Lonchura striata: one gene and its partner. The protein of the gene in region 1 binds, or shares a complex with, the protein of each later gene. Links are inferred from orthologs where the notes say so. Each region holds a gene or a part of one and is shown in the gene's direction. Other genes may lie near its edges.

Evidence for each region. Proteins that work in one complex are often made in the same cells at the same time.
Region 2: the proteins of ORC4 (region 1) and ORC5 are in contact, whole or in part, in a cryo-EM structure (PDB 7JPO), measured with the Homo sapiens proteins. The link is inferred for Lonchura striata from reciprocal best matches to the Homo sapiens genes ORC4 and ORC5. Residues at the interface, in NP_001177808.1 of Homo sapiens: Ser18, Gln21, Arg22, Arg25, Glu26, Cys29, Arg30, Gln31, Arg69, Thr74, Asn100, Leu102, Leu103, Gln104, Ile105, Ile109, Glu113, Arg116, Asp162, Arg277, Met281, Met284, Leu285, Asn288, Met311, Asp312, Ser313, Lys314, Asn316, Ile317; in NP_002544.1 of Homo sapiens: Ile17, Ser20, Leu21, Phe22, Gly23, Glu24, His26, His27, Phe28, Ser29, Phe30, Pro31, Tyr36, Gly37, His38, Thr39, Thr98, Phe99, Asn100, Val103, Arg104, Arg131, Glu134, Asn136, Pro139, Gly140, Arg143, Gln145, Glu146, Leu147.

Annotation. Positions count from the first base shown.
Region 1 is NC_134610.1:2,480,110-2,487,618, forward strand, and holds the start of ORC4 (origin recognition complex subunit 4), read left to right. Parts: upstream 1-4,444; 5' UTR 4,445-4,564; coding exon 4,565-4,633; intron 4,634-4,678; exon of another isoform or gene 4,679-4,794; intron 4,795-5,768; coding exon 5,769-5,840; intron 5,841-6,564; coding exon 6,565-6,641; intron 6,642-7,509. UniProt on the Homo sapiens protein: Component of the origin recognition complex (ORC) that binds origins of replication. DNA-binding is ATP-dependent. The specific DNA sequences that define origins of replication have not been identified yet.
Region 2 is NC_134607.1:60,494,108-60,501,684, forward strand, and holds the start of ORC5 (origin recognition complex subunit 5), read left to right. Parts: upstream 1-4,529; 5' UTR 4,530-4,587; intron 4,588-7,319; 5' UTR 7,320-7,386; coding exon 7,387-7,497; intron 7,498-7,577. UniProt on the Homo sapiens protein: Component of the origin recognition complex (ORC) that binds origins of replication. DNA-binding is ATP-dependent. The specific DNA sequences that define origins of replication have not been identified yet.

The DNA of each region.
Region 1 (7,509 bases):
CTCTCGCTGATTCCTGCTGCCAGCCTGGAGCTGAGGGGCACAATGCAGATCCTGGGAGCCACAAGGAGCTTAAAGCAGCACTGGAAAGTTAAAAATCAGATGGTTTTTACTGCTTCTTGTAGACGCTCATTTATATATTTGTATATATGTGTATTTGCGTATGCAGATAAACCCATTTGCGTGTGTACTCATACACTTTTTAACATTGTAGTCCAAATGATTTGGACAAATTTTAAAATAGCACCAAGTCTGAACTCCCTTCTAGACAATTCATCTAGAAAATAGGAATTGCTATAATAAAGAACTTGAAATTCAAGAGAAGTCAGCACTTCTCAATTTCTTAACTGCTGCTTTTTGTTTTATTCCTTCTTTGTTTAGCTCCAGATAGGCAAAGAAAGATTAAAGCATCCTGAAAGCTCTTTCCAATGCTCTTCCAAAATTTCACCCCTAACACCAGCCTTGGTTCCTGTGCAGGCCCATTTGAAACTGATTGAGCAGTATTATTCCACCTAATAGTTCCAAAAATAAAAACAAGGAAAAGCCAATGAGAGCCTGTGGTTTCCAACGTTCAAGTAACCCTTTAAAAGAATAAGCAGGTCCTTAATGGCATAAGAGCATTAAAAAGGAAATAAATGTATCCTGTATCTTTTTATTTTTGAAAGCAATGGTAATTCTGATTTCCACTGGGACCGAACAAGAACCAACACAGGGACAACCAAACAAACCTAAACCCTGAGACAACCCAACAAGCCTGAAAGAACAAACAGAATTCCCCACTTTCCCAAAGTTTTGACAGGATTTTTGCAAAGGAAGCTCAGCCACTTTCAAAAATTTGTGTCCCTGGCCATGAACAGATGAGATTGAACTGCTTTGTGTACGTGGCCTCTTAAGCCCATAGAGAGACACTGGGACATTAGTGTCCTCCAGATGGGCACGGAGGGCTCCCACCTGGCCTGCTGCTTTCCACAGGGACCACTGGCTGCTGATCCATAAACTCATGGTGGACCTACAGACTGTATTCCAGCCACTGAGCTTCCACAAAGAAGGAATAACCATGAGAAATAGTAGGGGGGAAAAAAAAATAAATCCACTGAGAAAGTGAATGAAATAACCCAGCTGAATCCCAAGGCATTCCACCTTGGAGAGGCCTGTGACTGATGCCAGGATCTCCAGTGCTTTTGAACAAGGAGAAACACTGATCCCTCCACAGCCCAAGAATGAAATGACTCCAAGTTGTACAAGAAAAGTTCAATTATTGAAGGTATTGCATCATAAAGATTCTCCTCAAACATCCGCCTCCCTAATCCAAACAGAGACCAACTCGTGTGTCCACAAAGGAAGGAAGGCACAGCAGCAAACTCCACAGAAACATTATTAAAGTCAGGCCTAAACAGCATCTTTATGCTCAGCACAGCCATGGCAGGTCCTTGCTAATTCCAAGCTATCTGCCCTTAGAGCCACTGACCCAGAATACAGCAAAATAATTATTAATTTTGTCCCCAAAGATAAAGATCTGGAAAATCTGCAACAAGTTTTCCTAAAAGCAATCATCACCTGTAAATATCTTGATATCAGTAGCAAAAAGGTGCTTAGGAACCCCAAATAAAAGGAAACTGTGTTGCCTTTTAGTTACAGCTGTCGATAATGCACAATCTTTCCTAGAACAGGTTGAAACATTCAATTCCTTCGGTTCTTGGAAGGCTGTGACAGCAGCCAGAAGCCCCAAATTCGCCTGAGACCCCTTTGTGCTAAGCCTGCAGAAATGCAGGAATTGCCACCCAGAATCCCAGTCCCAGCAGTGCTTCCTTCAGAGGGCCCTTCCCACCCCAATCCCACAGCTCTCTCTCCAGCACAGACGTGGCTGCAGGACTGCAGGCCTATGGAAATGAAGGTCCATCAGTAATTTTATCTCTAGGATTTAAAGCAAGAAAAATCCCTGAATTATTCTGCCCAGCTTCAGAATCCTGTTCAATTTTACTGTATAGCCATATTAAACCAAACCATAGGTACTTTAAAGGCCAAAACACAAGGAGATGGTTAAATCCTTGTAATAATTACTGTATCACATCACTGTAGGATGTGGAAGTTGGGAGCAGAGCTGCAGCTCTACATACACGGGGAATGTAATCCTGCAGCCACTATAGGCTTCCATGTACAGAGGAAAGCAGATCAATGGGATCTCCGGCTGAGAAAAGCAGCACTGTCATGAAATAAAACCATGAAATTATGTCCTTCGCTCTTGGACAGGCTTTTGCTGTCCAACTCCTACCTGTAGTAAACTAAAAGGCAAATCACATGTTTAAATCATGGGTGTTTATACACAGATCTGCTGATTTTGGGGATTGTCACTGTTGAGATTTTTCCCCCACACGTTTAAACCCAAAGTTATTACAAGCAAAAATAAAACTAACAGCAAACTATCAGAAAGAACTACAGTTATGGCTGCTGCCTCCAATTCTCCATCACAACATTGTCCAGTATCAATCCAGCTCTGGTCTTCTCCTGTTCCTTACACCCCATCAAATTACAGCTCCCACAAACCCTTCCCAGCCCGACCCCAAAACTGCTGCTTCACGCCAGACACGTGGGTAGAAATTAGAAATGGGAGACAGCCCAGCATGTCAGGGGAGCTCTTTCTTGTGGGCATCCTTCAGCATGGGGCACAGTGACACACATTCTCTGCTGACCACCATTTAAACTGGGATGCCCCTCTGGAGCACACACTCATGGCCTACTCCGTGGTTCTGCACTCAGCACTTAATAAACCAAAAATAATAAGCCTAAAATAAACCAAAGCACTCCAACCGTCTTTTGGAAATTACAGAGGACATAATTAAGCCCCAGAAATAAGCAGACAACAGCAATTTCAATATAAACATCCTCCTTGTGTAGGGTACTTTCTCATTTCAACTCGGTGTTAATGCCCCAACTCTTACTTCTGGATCCTTGCAAACATCTAGAAGGCTTCTCCCAACATTTCCTCGAGCCCAGAATTTAGTTTGACATTTCAAGCCATTGCATTTTAACCCATTTCAGACGTTGGAACACGCAAGTTTCCCTCGAACCAGCAGAAAACATGGTCAGGTCAGTCCACCAGCAGCACCTGACCAACACCGTGAGCGGGGATGGAGACGCTTGGCCTTCCCAGCAGAAAGCCATGGAAAAACACATCCCGACATCTATATCCCAACAAACCATTGACCAAATATAGCCGGGCACCACCGATAACCAGGGGCTGCTACCAAACCACATCCCAACCCTGCAAACACCAAGTCCAGCTCCTGGACTGCCTATCCCTGGAAGTTGAGCTCGGGAAAGGGTCTTTGTACAAGTGGTCTTTGTACCTTCACCACCGCAGGGGTTTAATAACTCAAACAATAAGTCAAACAACGGCCTGGAACCTGGGGGGGGGCAACGCCGGGGCTGGGTGTTATCCCAGGAAAACAAGACTTTCGGGACTCGGCCGGGGCTCAGCACCCACCGCGCCACCCCGAACTTTGCCCGGCGCCCCCGCCACCATCACCCCCCTTCCCGTGCCGCTCCGGAGGGGCCCAAGGAGCATCCCCGGAGCATCCCCCGACAACAAAGCTGGGGCGGGGGGCGCCGGGAAGGGGCCCCGGGTGACAGGCGGTGCCCCCCGGGGCAAACGGGGGGTAACCGCGGGGTAAACAAACAGCCCCCCCCGCCCCGCCGCTCCCCCCGCACTCACCTCAGGGCCCCCGGGCGCGGGGAGGAAGGCGGAGACGCACACAAAGGGTAATAAAGGGGGAGGAGGAGGAGGGAGCGGCGCTCCGCGGGGCCGCCCCCAAGGGACGGGGGTGGGGGGGCGGTCTCGGTGTGTGTTTGAGGGGGGATGTGGAAGAAACTCCCCGGCGGGGCTGCGGCGGGGGCAGCGACTCGGGGCCCCCCGCCCCCGCCTCGGCGCGGCGCTGCTTGCTTCGCGTCCCTTCAGCGGCGCGAACAACCGGCCGTCCCGCCGCCGCCCCCCCCCGCGCTCCTCCTCATCGCCGCCGCCGCTGTCGGGAAGGAGGAGGAGGAGGAGGAGGAGGAGAAGGAGGAGGAGGAGGAGGAAGAGGAGGGCAGGCAGCAGCGGCGGCCGCCACCGCGCATGCGCCCCGGGGGAGCTCGGGAGGCCGCGGGGAGGAAAGGGGGGGGGAAACGGGGGGGTGGGGGGTGAGGGGGGGGGGGACGACGACTTCCCACAGCGCCGCGCGCGCCGCTCCCGGAAACGGATCCGGGATGGGGAGGAAGGAAGTGGATGAGGGGGGATGGAAATGGACGGGGAGGAAGTGACGGGAGCGGAGCGGAGGGGAGGGGAAGGGGGAAAGGGAAAGGGAGGGCAGCGGGCAGCGCGCGGTGACGTCAGGGGGGCGGCGCGCGCGCGGGCCGGTGGGAGCGCGCGTGCGCGGCGGGCCCCGCCCTCAGGTGGGGGGGGGGGGGGGAGAGGCGGGAAAGCGCCGTGAGGGCAGCGCGGGCAGGTGAGGGAGAGCCGGCCTCCGCCTCAAACTCAGCCACCGCCTCAGCCTCCGCCTCAGCCGGGCGGGACGTGCCCGAGCAGCGGAGGATGCGCCCCACCGCCCGCCCTTCATCCGCTCGGGCTCCGGCGTCTCTGAGGGAGCCGCGGTTACAGCCTGTGAGGAGGGAGCTGCGGGAGCGGTTTCTGAGGGGGATGAATGGCTGCTGGGGCGGGGGGAGGTCTTGGCTGCCCGGTGAGGGCTGAGGGGAGCGTGCGAGCGGTGGTGGCCGCCCTCGGGTGATGGAGGAGAGGCGGGACACGCCGTGAGGGGAGGACAGGTGAGGCCAGGACAGCACCCCAGGACAGCACCCCAGGACCCTCCAAGCCCTGTAGGGCCTCCCCCCATTTCCTCAGGGTCCTCCCAAAACCCGCCCTCAGCGCCCCCACAGCCTCTCATGGACCCTCCCAAGCTCTTTGAGGTATCTCCATTCCCTCATCAGGGTCGTCACGGACTCTCCCAGCCCCGAAAAATCAGACCTCCCACCTTCCCCATTCCCACAGCCCTTCCCCAGCTCCCTCATGGACACTCTCGCCCCCATCCCCATTCCTTTCCAGAGCATTCCCAGACCCTCCTAGCCCCCATAAATTCCTCACTCCAAATCCCTCAGGACCACCCCTAAACCCTTCCCAGGACCACTTCTAAGTCCCCCTCAAGACCTGTAATTCCTCTCCAAATCCCCCTTAGAGCCTCCCTCAGGCCCTCTTGAATCCCCCTCAGAACCCTCTCAAACTTCTCAATCCCATCATGATCCCCCTCAAGGACCCCCAATCCCTAAAGTTTTCCCCCCTGACCCCCTCTGAATCTACCCAAATCTCTTTAGAGACCCCCCCAATCCCCTTAGGACCCCTTCAGAGCCAGCTTGTCCAGAGAGATGCTGTGGTTAATGTTATAAACAAGGATGACCAGTTATTCCTGTAAAAACTTAACTGTTTGTCTTGATGTGTTCCCGTGTGCTTGTAGCTTGTTCCAGCTGCAGAAACATAAGGACATTATTTTAAACTGCCTAAAGCATCCTAAAGCCAGTGCTGTTTAGGAGATGTGTGTCAACATAGGTTTATCAGGAATAAATTTAAAATTATTTCAGTGTTTTTCAGCTGTTTTTCACTAGGGAGATGGACTGTTGCATCTTTATTAGTTAAGAACAGATGTTCATTACAGTACTTAAAAATGATCGACATCTAAGTACAGTTTCGGACTGGGATTGTTTGGAAATGCTTAATTAATGAAATGCTTATTTTCTCTTCTCCAAAGATGAAACATTCTGCAACAAACAAGCGAAAGTTGAAGGAGAGCAGTGCAGAAAGTGCTGAGAACATTTCCCAGGTCAGTAACACCTTTATTCATTACTTTCTTTTCACATTCTGGACCTTTTCCACCCTGTGCCATTGATATAATTTATCTTTTTTCCTAGGCCAGTTATAAAGCCTGGCAGATACAATTGTTAGGGCACTAAATAGCTTTTGTCCCTGTGTTTCAGCTTCCCACCTGTTGATTGCTTCAAGTGTTACTGTTATAATGCAGTAAAAAACTTAAAGGATGTTCTTGTACTTCTGCAACTCTTTGTGGCAACAGATTTGCCTAAATCTATTTTTGACCATTTAGGTTTTCTTATCTTCCAGTTTGTAGGGTGAGTCAGAACCCAGGTGACATTTTTAGCAACAGAACAGCAGCTGCCAAATCAGTTTTTAATTTGTTTTGGTTTTTTTAACCTTTATTCTCCTGTTTTCTCAAAGTTGCTGGTTAAAAACTGTAATGCATCTTGCAAGGAATTACCCCTGGATCAGTGATTTCCTATATGTTTTAATATCTTCTAATTGCTTTTTCTCCCTTATATAATATTTATACAATACTCTGCCTCCTGCAACTTTATTCTTACTTTCAAGACCATTCTATCCTTGGTAACAGTAAAAATGTATGTATTATAGAATATTTTCTAACACCACAAAAGCACCTAATTTGCTGTTATTTTATTGCTGGAGTTACATGATTGGTAAATTCTGGTGTTTGGAGCCCCAGACATTTTTCCTGCGCTGTGTTACATCCCTAGGTGCAAAAAATCTTACGTGAAAGATTCTGTCACCACTGTGCTGCTGGAAAACTGTTTGGGATGGAGCAGCAGTACAGGTGAGTGAGCAGGCTCTAGGATTCAGTGATTTCTAATTTAACTGCAGTGGTAAAATAGTTTGCTGAAGTCAGAACTTTCTGCCTCTCTGTTTTACTAAGTTATATAGGTTCACTTCCAACCCAGTGCTTCCAAAAGTTATTTGCCTCAGATTGTGTAGTTTTTATACAACTGTTGCCTGCTGGTTTTGTCAGGCTCTGAGTTTTGGATTTCTTGTCCTTGTTTCGCATCTCTCATTCATGAAGCACTTTTCTTTTTGATACTTTCAGTGCCAGTTCTAAGACTTTGTGTAATGGCCTGGCAGAGCAAGAAGTTACATTCTCTTGCTGTGATACTTTATTTCTACTTCAGATTTTCTCCTGTTTGTTGGTGAAATGTGCTAGAAGTAAATCCTAAAATTTCTGTGCCAACATCGTGTTTGTTGAAGTAGAGACCAATATTTAAACTTACTTCTGGAGCCATCCAGATGGGGAATTTAGGGTTAGGAAGAAGTGATTTAAGTGGGACAATAACACTGTAAAATAATCAGTACTGGGACAGATGCAGGTCAAATTCTGCAGTTGTATTTAAAAAACTAATTTTTCCAAGACTGACTTTATATAAGTGGAATCACCTGATGTGAGCACAAGTTTTCATTACAAGAGGGACAAAAACATTTATTAAAACAGTACATGCAGAGCTCACATAGGCATTTTATTGCTGTTGTGAGGAAATGTAGTTCTGTTATGTCAGTTTTACAAAACAAGCCTCCCCTGTTTATACTGGAATTCTGAAAAGCAATTTACAGGCTGTGTCCTACTCAATGTGCCACTGGTAGTGCATTATCCTGGAGGGAAAACACAGCTCTGATTTTTCCTTCCCAAGATGTGT
Region 2 (7,577 bases), on another chromosome or scaffold:
TCAAACTCTAGATTGTTCAACACATATTTCTGTCTGCAAAATCCTCTGCATTAGATACTATGGGAGTATTTAATCCATAGAATTACTGTTTTTCATATTAATGAGTTATAAATAAGAGCTTAATTACTCCTAATTCCTTGAAAATCCACTGTTGGTGATTATAATCACTAACGATTAGATTGTTAAACATTCATCATTGTCTATCTTTAGCAAACTTAATGAGAAATTATGGATCAAATCTCAGTTTCTGATTCTGCTGCCAAGTGCTGGTGGAAGAGAACCCCTGCTGGCTGTGAGCAGTGCCAGGTCACCACTGGCATTACCCCTTGGCAGTGGCATAGGATGACTGGGAGTCAGCAAAAGATGTGAAGGGAATATACTGTGTTCCTGCCATTCACAGCCCACAGAACTGTCTCCAGGGACTATTTTTTCCTGATGTAACTAAAAGCCCTTTCATCCAAATCTGCGTTTACAAAGCCTAACTACCCCTGAACTTTCTTGTTTCATTATCAGGACAATGAGAAGGTAAGTCACTTGAGAAATTTCATCCATTTTGAAGAAAAATCACTCCATATATATTTTAAATAATCTTTACCTGGGAATTTAAGTGGATGATTTGTGTAGAGGTAGATAATGACACTATCCTTTCCACTTGCTCTGTTGAAAGAGCTGTATCATCCAACAAGGCAGGAAATGTGGTGGCAGTCATTTCTTAAACCATCTCAATGGTGCTTTCAAGTGAACATCTTTCCAAAGTATATTTTCTTCCTTCTCTTTGTCAAAGTGCTTTTCTGCACTTTTGTCAGCTGCAATTGACTTTTTGGAATAGCAAGAGACTGCTAAAAAATAATCTGGATGCGGTCTCAATAGCACCCTGCATAATGGCACCTCTGGTAAAATGTATCTTGGAAAGAAAGGGAGAAATTAAAAAAAAATACTGCACATATTCTATACACATAATTCTCTCTGTATAGGTCTACATAAATACAGAACATAGATAAATATATATGTGCTCTATACATGGTTCTATTTAGATATATAGAAAGACATATATAAAGACATAAATCCTGTAATGCACTTAAATACATAAGTTTAAGAAATGAGGAATGCCAGTGATTTGATCCAAATGAGTGAATATTCTATATTTAAAGTTTGATGCTGAACTGGAACTGTGGATGAAAAAATCTGAATGAAGATTAATCATTATCTGTACTGAAAATAAACTTCACAAAGAAAAAAGTGTTAATATAAAATATCAGACCACAAGTACAGTGAGAAAGGTCTATCCCCCGCTCTGTAACATGCATGTTTCAAGCCTCAGTTTACTGTTTGCTTCATTTTATATTTGGTATTTAAGCAGCTCATAATAAGATAAAAAGACATGTGACAGCTTAGTATAAATTAAGAAATAATTTAAAGCTTTTCAGAAATGTATATTGAGTGACATCAGTGAAAACTATGTTGATGAAAGATCTAAACTGAAATTCATTATGCTACACATAACCAGCTATACTTAGGCATGAAATCTATCTCTAGCAACTGCTACTAAACAGTTTTGGCCTCTTGAATAAAAATAAAAGTCACACTTACTAAATTTAAGCAATTTTTCTGGGAAGTAGAGACTTTCTGTAGGAATATATGGACACTGATATGCCCAAGTAAATGGCAGAACTGTTCAGTGGTCTTCTGTGATAGTTTTTAATTTGCAGATTTAAGTCCAGGATTCTGTGGTAGTTACTTCAGGTAAGTCCTACAAAACATAGCATTATAGTCCCACCATTTAAATCAATAACAATATTCTCAATTATTTTAAACTATTAAAGCTATACAGATTTTTTTTTTCTTTGAGTTTTACCTCATAGTAATAATGGTGGCACTTTGGATTAATAAGCAGAATTGTTACTGGGTATTTTGTTTGAACTGCAGACTAGAAGCTAAATAAGACAGGAGTGGAAGTCCCATAAGCAGGATTTTGGAAGAGAGGCTGTAATCTTTTGAAGTATCTTTTGGGTTGATTTCAACTGGACTGGTTCCCTCAACAATCTGCCCTTATAAACCACCCAAATCCTAGGACCAGAAAATGAGCAGAAGTGGGGACACAACAGAGAAAATGAGACCCTCCTCTTCAAGGTAATATGGATTTATGTTGTGTTGAAGTGACCTTGGGAGTCACTCCAGCCTGAGTCACTGATTCTCCAACAGAACCACTGAATTGAAAACTACATATTTAAAAACTGACCTCTTGTTTTAGGATTCTTGCTCAACTCCAAACCAAACTTCAGTTTTGCTCAGTAGTCATCCATAGAAGACGCAAGTTCCAAACATCACTATGAACTGCTTCCAAAGTATTTAATCTCCCACATACACTATAGAAATGTGGACTCACTGAGACTTCTTTCAGTTATTACATTTGAGATTTTTTTCTGAAACATGGTCCATCTGTATGCAGAGGAATCTGCCCCAACAGATTCCATGTTTCAAAAGCTAGAAGAAAAAGTATTTCACTCTGCTGAGAAGGATAGGTCATGGTATGACACATTAAAACATACCTGTTGTTCCAAATAAAGATTTTATCACAAGTCAAGAAGTGGACTGAACTAGTAAACAGCAGTAACCCATATAATTATGCTTTGTCAAAACTGATAAATAGCAGGCCATTAAAAAAACCCACCAAAAACCAAGATGTTACACAAATTTGTATAGATAACCATTCATCATTTAGGGGGTTTTTTTCTGTTTGTTTTTGTTTTTTTTTTTTTTTTGCTTCTCTTTATCTAATTTCATTCAGGTTGGTTTCAGTAGTTTCAGTCTATAAATTTACAACATATATTTCAATATCTAAAATACTATTCAGGCCAAGCCATGATGATTGTGCATGTACATGCATATTTACAAAAAACCCTGACTGCTAAAAATAAGCCATCCTTGATTCACATAAGTCTTATTTACTTATTTAACCAATATTGCGCCCAACTCTGAGTATGGAAGGAGTTTATCATTTTAGTTTTCATAACCCAGCATGCAGTTTTCACATTTATCCCTCTAATACAGTATGCACTGCTTATGCATAATATAACTTCAGCTGTAATTTGAATCTATGGTTATGTATTTTCAGAGCTTGACTGGAGCAGAGGCTCCACAGACCTAGCTTTAAGCAGTTTTGTGTATGAACACATGTAAGTTATGCGCACTTTATATGTGTAAGCTAGGTCCCACCTGTCCACAAAAATCAGATTTGTTATCTGGTGTGCAACAAGCCAATAACTATTCACTCATGAGACACTGATTATTTATTTCTGAGTTGCACAAGCCTGGGCACTTGGTGATATTCCAGAAATCAAACACCTTGCTATAAAAACTTTTTACTATTTATACATTTTAGCAAACAATGGAGACAGTGTTAATTTCCTACAAGTTACAGAGTTCTCTTATTAATTAGTATTCATTAGCTAGTGATTCGCTTCTTATGCTAATTAGTCTGCATGCTCAAACTTTCTCTTCTTTTGGGTCTGGGGGTTTCTTGGGTCCATGGTCACCGTCTGCCCCTGCCGGAATTACCTTCTACCCAGTGGGAGCTGATTTAGCACAGTTGGCTTTTCAAGTTTTTTGCTTATCTCGGGTGTTCTGCCAACTGTCCTCGAGGCCCGTAAATTCTGCATCCTTTGTGCCCGCTACTAGTGAGTACATCCTTCTTCCCAAGCCTCGTTAACCTGCCCCGAGCTCTGAGATCACTGGAACACGTCCAGCCCTAGACCTTAACACGGCACTTCTACCAAACTTGTCTTCCTAACACTGGTCACCGCTTAGAGCTTGCTAGGCATTCTCTGTTTCACAGATTAATTCTCCTTTCTTGTTGATTGGATTTCAAACCATGCAAAGATCAAAGAACATCCCTTCTTAAGAAAAGTTTACATGTTTCGTATTTTGCAACACCCTCAAGCCTGTCCCTGTGGGAGAAATGGCTCAGCCCTGGGGCTCCCACAGCGGCAGGGTGCCCCAGCGGCTTTCCCAGGGGGATAACACGGGATAGATATCGCGTGGGACACCCGGCGGGGGAAGCGGCAGAGTGCCCCAGCGGCTCTCCCAGGGGGATAACACGGGATATCCCGTGGGACACCCAGCGGGGGAAGCGGCAGGGTGCCCCAGCGGCTTTCCCAGGGGGATAACACGGGATAGATATCGCGTGGGACACCCGGCGGGGGAAGCGGCAGGGTGCCCCAGCGGCTTTCCCAGGGGGATAAACCCAGCGGGGGAAGCGGCAGGGTGCCCCAGCGGCTCTCCCAGGGGGATAACACGGGATATCCCGTGGGACACCCAGCGGGGGAAGCGGCAGAGTGCCCCAGAGACTCTCCCAGGAGGATAACACGGGATATCCCGTGGGACACCCGGCGGGGGAAGCGGCAGAGTGCCCCAGCGGCTTTCCCAGGAGGATAAATGGGATATCCTGTGGAACACGCGGCGGGGTAAGCGGCGCATTCCCCTCACGGCCGCCCCGCCCCAGGCGGGCCCGCGTGGCCACGGCGCATGCGCGCGGGCCGAGGCGCTGGGCAGCGGCGCGCGGCGGCGGCGGGAGCGAGTGAGGAGCCGGTGAGAGGAGCCGGGCTGGGCGGGAAGGAAGGAAGGGAGGCAGGAGTGCCGTGAGGAGCAGAAGGGGCAGACCTGCTTCTGTTCCGCTTTCTCGGTAGGAATCGGTGCGGGAGCGAAACCCGCATCAGGCTGAGCCGGCCCTTAGGCCGGGAGCACCCTCAGCCTCGCAGGCGTGGCGGAAGGAGCCCGCGCTAATGGAGGCCGGGGGTCGGCATTCCCCCTGAGCCACGGCACGCCCGTGCTGGCCGGGGGGCTTGTGGGGCCTGAGGGGACGCAGAACCGTGCTAATCTCTTAAATTCAGTCATTTTTGTATGTTATTTTTGTGTTAGAGTGTGGAAAGGCTGCCAGCTGTAGGTATGTTAGGACCAGTGAGTTGAGAGAAATCCTAGTAAATCATGAAGTCCCGCCGTGAAGTTTAACTTGTGCTCTTCTTAGCTGTGAAGAGGTCTCAGGTCTCAGCTGAAAAGTGATTTTGGCACCTTCCTGGTCTGGTTAGTGTCATACCTACACCTTCCCCGGGCTGGAACACCCTGAATTCAAGCTTTGGCCGATACTTACCTTCTGTTATCATTACCATTTAATCTAAATTAATTATTTCGTGAACTCGTTGCTCTAGGCATCCTTTATCGTGAGCACATGAATGGGGTGCTGTTGGAGATTGAGACACCTACGTATAGCCGGTAGAGATGTAGGTTTTATTTCGCGGGCTGAAATGTGTGTGGTGGAAGTTGCTATTTGCAGGGTGTGCGAGAAGCAGGCGGGGCTGGCAGATACGGTGCGGTCGGAGGGAAGTTTGCCTGGGAGTGGCCTTGAAAAACTGAAGTGCTTTGTGGAGTGCTTCAGATGCGTTTAGGACACAGTCAAGCCCTGTTCTTATGTAGCCAGTGGAGCAAAAGGGCTGTTTTTTGTGGTTTTGTTTTTTTTTTTTTTTTTTCTTAAATTTACACAAGGTTTTCAGCCTTTTCTAGTACTTTTCCCCCACTTGTTTGTCCTGGGTTTTAGAGGCTCCTGCCATAGTTTTTTTCTTTTCGTCCTTGAAATAACTAGCTAATTTTTTAACTTAATCAAGCTATTTGGATTTTTGCTTCTTCATTCCATTTTGAATGGATACCTGAATAGGTATGGTGGAAAGATGCACAGACTCATTCAAAGCTGGTAAAATACACCAAGGCTCTTTGTATAATTCTGTGTATAGGAAATAGTTTGCTTGATACATATGATTGTGGGGTTTTTTTGCCCCTAACAACAGCATTACTTTGACTTTCCATACTTAGTATGCGATTGACTTATAAATAAACATATTTTCATATTTTCATATTTTTCAGGTTACTTCTGACTTAGTTTCTTGATATCTAACTGTAGTCCTTATATGTGATGTGATTACTTTAAAGTAGGTGTAATATAAGTACTAAGTTAGTTATATCATCAGTGATATAATTTTTTTCCTCATTAATTCCATTTATTTTTCTGTTGATGATTCTACAATCCCAGCTTTTACTTTAGAAAACACTGAAGGCAAAGTGTAAAAATAAAAGAAAATGTATTTTCTCAAATAAATTTATGGAAATACTGACCAGAGATTTGTCCCAAAAGGAACTCTATTTTAAGGTATTTCCATAAATACATTTATATTTACAAACCTCCTTGTAGTGCAATCCACTACTGCATTTTCCCTTCAGAAAAGTTGGTTTTCCCTTTACCTTGCTCTTTCTGATTTCCTTCTGCTAACCTAATCTTTTTTCCTGTGTTGTTGTACTTATAGCCAGCATAATATATATGCCTGTAAATACTTACATTTAAAACAGTTGGGAGTGCTTTGTTTTATTGTCTTTGTCTTGATAACATATAGATAATCCTGTCACTTGATATCTTTATTGCCTTAATGAAATTTCCAAGCTTTCTTTTTGATTGTTGTGTTGTGTTTGACAAAGTCAGAAACCAGCTGTTGAGGTTCAGTTCTCTCTGCATGTTGTCTGTATCACAACAGGTAAAAGTACCATCTTTCCAGCAGTTTTAGAAGTGCAGAGAATATTGTTGAGGTGTTGTTTTGTGTTCTGTCACTGAAATCCAACCTTCCCAGTGTTAGAGCAATCAAGACCTTTGTTTTTCTTTATCTAGTCCTTGTCTAAAAGGTAAATTGCCATTAATATTAGTTTTATGTAACTGGTTTGGACTCCTACTATTTTTAAAGAGTATTTCCAGTCTTTACCATCAACTGGATTTTCTTTATATGCCTGTGCTCCTTCCAAGATGGGGTTAGCATTCCTGTTAGCAGCCAGAGATCTATTACTTTGTCATCCTTATCTTTCCTTATGTCCTACCTCTTTTCCTGTTGTTTGATGATCACCTTCCTGATCATCATCCCTGCTCAGGGAGGTGATCATCTATGACTAAGCTACTCATTTTTATTTTCTTGCTAATTTTAAGTGTATATAAAATCAGAATTAAATGTGTAATTCCTCAGTTAACTAAACTGTACTGATTTGCTCATATCCTGTATACCTTTATATTTTGATTTGGTTTTTTTTTATTTTGTCTGGTGTGGAAATGTCTATATAGTTATGTAGTTAAGTCCAATTAACTCCTTATGTAGTTAAGTCCAATTTTACCAAGTCTTTTAAGTCTATGATAGTTACATGCTTTTCTTGAGCTAGAATGTCTGTTTAGATTTTCTATAGATTCCTTTTATGTGTATAGATGCAAGTGATAACAAAAACTTTTTATTTTCCAGATTTTTCTTGTCTCTGCACCTCAGAAAGGACATGCATATTTAGGTGACTAACTACAGGACTAACAAAATGCCTAATCTTGAACATCCAGCGTACCCAGCAGCTGACCTGCTTCACTTGGAAAGTTTAGTGCCTTGTCGAGAATCCCAGGTGTCCACGTTGCTGTCAATATTTGGCGAGGTAGTGCTCTTGTATTCTATGTTTGACTAGAACAAAGGCATTCCGCTGCCTCAGGGAAGAGAATAAAAAATTTAAGGGTA